Linked DNA regions of Xenopus tropicalis. The protein of the gene in region 1 purifies or fractionates together with the protein of each later gene. This does not show direct contact. Links are inferred from orthologs where the notes say so. Each region holds a gene or a part of one and is shown on either strand. Other genes may lie near its edges.

Region 1 (3,817 bases):
CCCTCACATTTACTCCTTCAGTTCTTTTACCTTGATACCAGCACCTGCACTACGCTTTTAAAGTTTACTCTTTTCTGGGCCATGCACTTTACCTTTACTTTGCTTGTGTTCTGTCAGTGTTCTTTTTTAAAGGGCACCTATCGCAATGTTTTTGCTTCCCCCACCAAATGTGTGGGTTAATAGAGCCTGCACTCTGGTTGGGGAAACAATAGTTTTTTTTCTAAAAGACAGCCCCGTCTGCACAAGGCCAAGTTATTTAGCATGCATGCGCATAATGAACTCCTCGCTCACTCATCATGCGCATGCATGCAACATAGGAGCGGTGGATGTGTCTCATGAGAAGCAAGTTGCAGCACTCGCTCGATATGCACATGTGTGTGCTGCAGTATGGCTGCCCGCACTTCTGGTGGGAGACGCAAAATCATTGATAGGTGGCCTTTAACCCCTCTACTGTAGGCCTTCATTTTCCTGTCCTGAATTAAAAGTTTGTAATAATTTTGTATGTATCTGATCTTTTCTGCTGCAAACCTTTTCCTTTTTACTTGGACTTCAATCTCTGTTTTCCTCCCTTGGGTGCATTCATACTGATTTTGTGTAGAGGACCATCTCTCTTGGAGCAGGAGACCGACAAGTTATACAGACACCAATATGTGACTCCCTGCCAATCAGCAATTGCAGTGTGGCCCTGCTTTTTCGGCAGCTTGGTAAGGAATTAAACATTCTGTTTATTCTCTTCTTTCCAGTTATACCCTTTGCAAACAAAATTAGTATTACTTCTTAACAAACTGATGGCATTTTCTCTACCTTGAACAAATCAGTATTATATTAAAGTCAATATTGTAGGTTTAACTCTTGGTTATTCTTGCTTGCATATCCAGGTATTACCAATGTGCTTTGCCTGTTTTGCGCAGCTCTTACTGAGCACAAAATACTCTTCCTATCCACGAGCTACCAGCGTCTCACTGAAGCTTGCAGAGCCCTTTTAGCCATAATGTTTCCTCTCAGATATAGGTGAGTCAATGCCTATAGGGCAATTTCACACTAAGTCTAAATGAATGTTTTTAACTTAACACATGCACTGTGCTCACTTATTTGTTCTGATAGTGTTCAGCAAATGTTCTGTTCCTCTTGCAGTTTCACATATGTACCCATCCTCCCTGCACAGCTACTAGAGGTTCTCAGTACCCCCACGCCCTTTATCATTGGTGTTAATGCCTTGTTTCGGGCAGAGACTCAGGAGCTGGTAAGGAAAATATTGCTTTTTTTGTGCTGTATAAAGCCGAACTATTGCCTCCTAGCATTAGTTGCAGCTAACTTAGGACTGTCTGGGTTAACAAAAATATCTCTAAAATGTAAGCAATTCTTTGTGCATTGACCTACTGTTTTATAAAATGCGCTAGATTTTGCTAATCTCTCTGTCCAGGAACTTTCTGAGTATAAAATGTGCCACATCCTTCCTTCCCTTTGATTTAGTTTAATTTTTTTTTTTTTTTTTTACTGATCCATATTTTCTGTCATTTTGATGCCTGGGAATAGGGTCGTTGCCTATTGTCACAAAACCATTACAGTGAATTTTTTACTTTCTGTATATTCTGTGCTTTGCTTCTTGCCTGGGATACAATTAATTTTTTTTGTACATTTGTAAGACCATCTCACCCCTGTGTTGTGCCTCTCCCAGACCAGCAGCAGAGATTATTATATTCGCTAGCAGCTATTTGTTACTGTAAGACTTTACAAAGGCCCCTTTTGTAAGTATAGGTTCTCCCTTGATGATATCTTCTCTGTTAAGTTTCCAGTTTTACTGAATTGCTGTAGGTGTGTCCTAAGGTTAGCTTGACATTTTTCTTGTGACTTTGTTCAGTTTTGCCTTTCTCTATTCATTTACGAAAAAGGTAATCCATACTCTGTAAATGTGTTTAACTCTGTGATTTCAATTTATCTCTCCAGCTTGATGTGGTTATTGCAGATTTGGATGGCGGCACTGTTACAGTCCCAGAGTGTGTTCAGATCCCTTTTCTGCCTGAGCCATTGCTGCATCACACACAAGAAGCAATTTCGCAAGTAAGTTTGACCCTTTATGTTCAGTATATATTTCCTGTCAGTACATTGTTTGCCACCTGATGACTTATACATACATATTGGTATCTTCTTTGTACATGCCTTTTTTGTACCTGCAGCCACTTCTTCCATTTTACCTTAGTATCTAGTTCTCTTTTCTTATTAACTTTTCTTTCTTTCTTATATTTATTCTCAGTCTTTGCATTTTTACTTGTTTTCATTTCTCCAACTCATTTACTTTTAATATATTTTTCTGTTATTAGGTTCTAGATCCCTCATTAGTGATTGCAGATCTGGCATTTCCACCATCCTCCATTACTGCATCTACTCTCAGAATGCAGGTAACCCTTTGCAGGCAATTTAATATCTAACACTAAGCTGGGTAACACTAATTTTGTCAAAATGATAGACATATCATGGTGTGTGTAAATGTAAAATATAAAATGTTAAAGGAGAAGGAAAGGCTAAGTCACTTGGGGGTGCCAAAATGTTAGGCACCTCCAAGTGACTTTAACCGCTTACCTTGTACCCCGGGCTGGTGCCCCTGTTAGGAGAAAACAGCACCAGCCCGGGGCACCTGCAACGAGCCTTCCTCCTTTCGTCTTCGCGCTACCGGCAAAATCCGTGGGCCGGCGCATGCGCAGTAGAGTGAAAAGCCAACTTCTATGTTTAAGTTCAGCTTTTTCACTCTACTGCGCATGCGTGTGAGGCAAATACGGAAGAGGAAGTGCTCGCAGCTACCCCGGGCTGGTGCTGTTATCTCTGAACAGGGGCACCAGCCCGGGGTAAAAAGTATGCGATTTAAGTCACTTGGGGGTGCCTAACATTTTGGCACCCCCAAGTGACTTAACCTTTCCTTCTCCTTTAAAAGTTTCATTTTAATTTAGAAATTTGCAACATAAAATAAATGTCCTCATACTAGCATATGTTTGATGGATTTAAGTAGTAAACATTTTTTCCATTATTCTTTAAACCAAAATTATTTATTTCCATCATTAATGCTGACAAAACATTTTTGTCAAGGAAATTGATTCATCCCTTCATTAATTGTTATATGTGTCCATATCACAATTTCTGGCTCTATGCTTTGATTGTAATTTTGTACTAAGGTTAATGTTTATTCAGGCTGTTATAATACTCTATTACAGGATATGGAAATACGTGCTTCGTTTCTGCGTCTTTTTGCACAAATCTTTCAGGGATATCGTTGTTGTCTGCAACTAATACGAATTCATCCTGAGCCTGTCATTCGTTTTCATAAGGTAAATCTAACTTTGTGTCATCTTCCTTATGTTATTTATCTAGTCACCTTTCTCTCTGTTTTTCCTCTTTCATCTACATCATATCACAAGTGCCTGTCACAGTCATTATGAGTGCTTCTTGAGTTTTTTTTTCATTTTCTATGGGTACCTTCACTGCTTTTCCTACTTTTATTTGTAAATAGGCATCTTTTCTTGGTCAACGTGGCTTGGTGGAGGACGATTTCCTGACTAAAGTCTTAGAAGGAATGGCTTTTGCGGGGTTTGTCACAGAACGTGGTGCACCATACCGAGCACTTGACCTGTTTGATGAGGTACATGCTTTTAGAGTTGTATGTATGTAAACACAATTTTAAAAAGCCATTTTCATTTCAAAAGCTATTTTGATATATAATATGATATATATCTGTAATGGCACACGGCATCCTTTTATTGCTGTTATTTTCTCAGGGAAAAAGCAACAATTAAAACGTCATGGAACCCTAAAAATGTAGGTCTCA
Region 2 (4,410 bases), on another chromosome or scaffold:
ATAGCCACTGCCATCTTGGGAAAAAGTTGTGGTGAAAGGCTGCCAGGGACAGGCAATCTGTGGTATCTGGCAAATGCCAGAGGGATTGTTGTAAGTGCCATAGATATTTACTATTTAGTGGGTAGTGTAGGCTGTTTGGGCCTCTGTCTACTTGAAATGCCAGGGCCTATTTTGAATCCCAGTCCAAAGGTGGGTGCTAGGCAGCCAAGGACAAGCAGCATGATGGGACTGAGGCTGGTAAGTGCTAGACACAGCTAATATAAGTATTACCACATTGCACCATTGCCAGGCCCATATCACGTTCTATGCCTAAACATCTCCTACATAAACTCTGAAATTTGCTTTATCTTCATGTAGGGGATCAGAGAACCCTGTCCCCTGTTTCTCAGTCTGTGATCTCATCCAGCCTAGAGACTGGGGAGGGATCTGATTGGCTTGGATGCCCCAGTGCACGTCTGGGAGAGGTGTGCCTAAGCTTTGGAGCCAAAAATCTAGGGGGGGGGCCAGCAGTTTATAAAGGGAGCCCCTGCTGTTTGCCAGTGCACAGAGAGAGATCCAGAGTGAGCAGCCAGTACAAAGTGTGGTGTGTTCAGACTTGAAAGAATAAAAGTCTGCTGGACTGCTAGGGAGTATAAAGTCCTCTGTGGAACTCTCTGTGTGTGTGTCCCCTGGAATGAACAGGTATTGCCCGTTCGCCTGCTACGTGGGAGCAGCCACCCTTTTCAACGGGGAAGGTACTCTGGGGCAGGTAGCGCTACCTGGGGGGGGCTAAAGAGCTCTTGGGGAAGGGACTGAACTGATTTAAAGGGTTTGGGGGTCTATCCAAGTTGGGGCTGGGCAAGTACAGAGACTGTGCCTGCAGTGGATAGCCCACACAAGTTCCTCAGGGCAGGATTATCAATCATCCCTAAAGCTGTTCTATTTTCTATTTCAAAAGTTATATAAAGTTCGATATTGCTGCAAACCGTGTGTGATTATTTCCAGGTGGAAATCCCCTAGAGGTGTGTTCCTCAGTGTCCACTAGGTGGAGGCACTGCGCTGTTCCCAGTATCTATATTTCACTGAGAACACACAACTCCTGTAAATACAGCCCAATATTAAGTGAATGTGCCAAGAAAGGGTTACATTCATATAAAATATTATCCACCTTTCAAAACGAATATATATATTTTTTTAAAGTGACGTCTCAGGGTTCCACATTTTCACCAATCACATTGGAGAGATAAGCGGATTTCCATTTAGGAAACTGGGTAATATGGAGCAGTCGGTGCCCCTAGTAGTTACAATAAGAGTAAAGCAGATAATATAAGAGGAAGCCAACCTCAGTGACTAAACCCGCTATGGTGACGCACCCATTCCCCAGAACAGCTATTAGTAACTACGTGTCACGTGTGTCTACATCATTTTATTATCTTCAAAGTCATCCTCAGCAGGAAGGAAAGCAATAATCAGGCAAGACGCAGACAAGACGGTAACTATAAAGCAATGGTCATTTGTTATTACACCCACCACTGCCGCCACTTCCCTAAATCGTTTTCCCAAAAAAACCGCAATATAAACTTTGCGCAACTGAGACACACAAATAACCATCCTCCCCTCAGCGATGTCTAGTAGCAGCCGTAGTGCATTGTGGGACACAGCAGCTTTCTGTGCCGCCGCGGTGCATGATGGGCTCAGGGCCGATTGACAGTCCAAAGACATGGCGGCTGTGTGAGTCACTGGGTCTCCCTCCCCTGTGCAGGAAGCCGGCAGGAAGAGCGGCCTGAAATCCGGCTTTTCCTGTGCGATAAGCAGGCTAAGGGGGGGTCAGCGGCCGTACAAGTATCCGGAGAGGAGGGAGGGGTGGAAAGGAAGAGCCCATGGACAAGCTGTCGGGTTTGGAGGCTGTGCCTGGAGGGGGTGTAAGCGCTGCGGGTGCGGCGCCTGCTGCCAGAAAGCCTCCCCGGCCGTCCGCGCCCCCCTCGCTGCCCAGCTCCCGCCAGCCTAGCGTCGAGACTTTGGACAGGTACAGTACAGGGCAAAAATGCCACTCCCAGGCTGAGGAGTTAGGCTTGCATGGCTGAGCATCATGGGAAAGCAGTTATTAATCAACAAAAGAGGGGAATGAAATTGGGTAAATAATGCAATGCAGGATGTAACTGCGCAGCTCTAAAGCTTCATTGTGGCAGTGCCACGGTAGGCAGCACAGACCTGCATATGGCTGTAGGGGTTACTGCTGAGGGGAGGGATGTGAGGCTTCTCCCTATTCATTCTGTGAAATAGGTGCTACTTGGTTCCCCAAAAGCTTAACAAGTGAAACTGTGTCACCCTCAAGCCTTGCCTGTGCTGCTCTCACGGCCATACTGTTATGTTGGCATGTTTATAATAATGGGATGCGCTGTCTACTGTGAATCTGTGCTGAATGTCTGTGTGAGTGATACATCGTTTTAGACAATGATTACCCTTACCAGGGTATGATTTGTGCTTTGAGCTTCATTGGCAAATAGATGGCTATGCTTTGGTCTGTTTGGCCACTGTTGTACTGCCCCTAGTAAAGATGTACATTGTACTTTACATTGCCCTGAAGGAGGGTGTGCTTTGGGCCACTCTGCCCTGAGGATGGTGGGCTTTTGGGTGCACCATTCTACCCTGATGGGGGGTGTATGCCTGTAACTGCTCTGCCCAGTTTAGGAATGTGCATTCAGCTGCTCCAAGAGTAGCATCCATACAGCTTTTCTTCTCTATAAGGGGGTGTGTGCTTCTATAGACTACAAGGGGCCTGCTTTGGGTTGCACTATTATCCTACCAGTTATACAGACTTTACAGATAATTCTTGTTTACATATCACTTAGTGGCAATACACTGACTCAATTCAGAGTTGGCAGCATATTGCCTAATGTATGGTGGCAATGTGTATAGCCTGCCTGACAGATACCGGGATTGTGTGTTAATGCACTCCTCCTCAAATGATCTTTATATTCTCCTGTCATGATACCATTGTTTGTCCAGGATCCAAATGATTGAATCAGCCTGATTTGAGCCAACACATGACCAACCTTGATAAATGAGCAGATCTTTCTGTGTAGTCTAGCTTTATCCCCTATGATTTGTTCTCAGTATTGTTTGAATACTATTTGTACAAACCTTTGCTAAATTTGCAGGTTTCTCCTTGTGAACACATAGAAATAAAACTAACACAATCCACAAGATTCTTTGGGTAGCCTGGTAGTGTTTTTATCTCTCTCTGTAGGTCTACCGACAGCCACCAATGTCTTACATCAGAATTCTCTGTGTATACCAAGCTTTAGTTTACATTATTTCAGGGGTAGTTTATGCAAGGGATTTTTTTGTAGTTTTCAGTATAAACTAGCACATAAATGCAGAATGACAAAATGAGCAGGAATCAATTAGTGTAAGGTGGAAATGTTAAGGGGAAAGTAAAATTATGTAGGTTGACAGCTGGTATACAGTGCATGGTACTTGTTAACTCAACACACTTGCCATCCCTATATAATCATTTTGCTAATGCTAAGCTTGTCCAAACTGGGGAAATCCTGGAATAATATTACAGGTAGGTCCCATCATATTGTCATTATTGCAGCAGAGGTTAAATAAACACAAGTTGAAAGAAAAGTTGTAGTTTGTTAAAGTCAGTCTCACTGACAAAATTATGTAAAAGTTAGAAATCGGGTTAATATTTATTGTGCAGAGCCAGATATGTGGGAAGTTTATATAATTTTGGTGGATGTGTGTCTTTTTTCAATCTTATCTAAATGGTAACATAGAGAGAGTTTTTTTTTTTTTTGCACACAGTGTTTGAATTTGTCAGCCTATGAAAAGAGTTGTTACTTTCTGGGATTTGCATAATGAAATTGTGTATTATGCATTTGTAATGTTTTTAATGTTACTTGAAAATACTGTTGCAACTTAAAACATTATTTGGCTATGTCTTTCCATTCTGGTTCTGACCAGCTGGCATCGGCTACATTGTGCTACTGGGCAGCACGGTGGCTCGGTGGGGGTAGCACTTGTGCCTTGCAGCACTGGGGTCCTAAGTTGGATTTCAGCTTGGGTACTATCTGCAAGGGGTTTGTATGTTCTCCCCTTGCCTATGTGGGTTTCCAAAAGCATACATGGAAGTTTATTGGCTCCTGATAAAATTGCCCATTCTGTGTGGATGTTATAGGAACCTTAGACTGGAAGATCCACTGGGGGCAGGGGCTGATGGGAATGATGCATGATCTCTGTAAGGGAGGAATGTGCTGCATTGAACTGTGTGGGACAGATAAAGTGGTTTGGGAGAACAGATTGTATGCTTACTGCCTCTTGTGTAGATTTAAAGGGAACTGAGGGTTTGCAGCTTTAATAATCCGATAGGATCTAAAATTTGACTGAAACTATTTATCCTATATGTTTGGCAACCTGTAATGG

The links.
Region 2: the proteins of sbf1 (region 1) and mtmr1 purify together in Homo sapiens (affinity purification with mass spectrometry; 4 studies listed by BioGRID and IntAct, with this or other methods). This does not show direct contact. The link is inferred for Xenopus tropicalis from reciprocal best matches to the Homo sapiens genes SBF1 and MTMR1.

What each region holds. Positions count from the first base shown.
Region 1 is NC_030679.2:89,287,661-89,291,477, reverse strand, and holds part of sbf1 (myotubularin-related protein 5), read left to right. Parts: intron 1-598; coding exon 599-704; intron 705-878; coding exon 879-1,011; intron 1,012-1,134; coding exon 1,135-1,243; intron 1,244-1,947; coding exon 1,948-2,061; intron 2,062-2,321; coding exon 2,322-2,399; intron 2,400-3,206; coding exon 3,207-3,320; intron 3,321-3,502; coding exon 3,503-3,631; intron 3,632-3,817. UniProt on the Homo sapiens protein: Acts as an adapter for the phosphatase MTMR2 to regulate MTMR2 catalytic activity and subcellular location. Promotes the exchange of GDP to GTP, converting inactive GDP-bound Rab proteins into their active GTP-bound form.
Region 2 is NC_030684.2:58,028,528-58,032,937, forward strand, and holds the start of mtmr1 (myotubularin-related protein 1), read left to right. Parts: upstream 1-1,532; 5' UTR 1,533-1,859; coding exon 1,860-2,005; intron 2,006-4,410. UniProt on the Homo sapiens protein: Lipid phosphatase that specifically dephosphorylates the D-3 position of phosphatidylinositol 3-phosphate, generating phosphatidylinositol. Could also dephosphorylate phosphatidylinositol 3,5-bisphosphate to produce phosphatidylinositol 5-phosphate.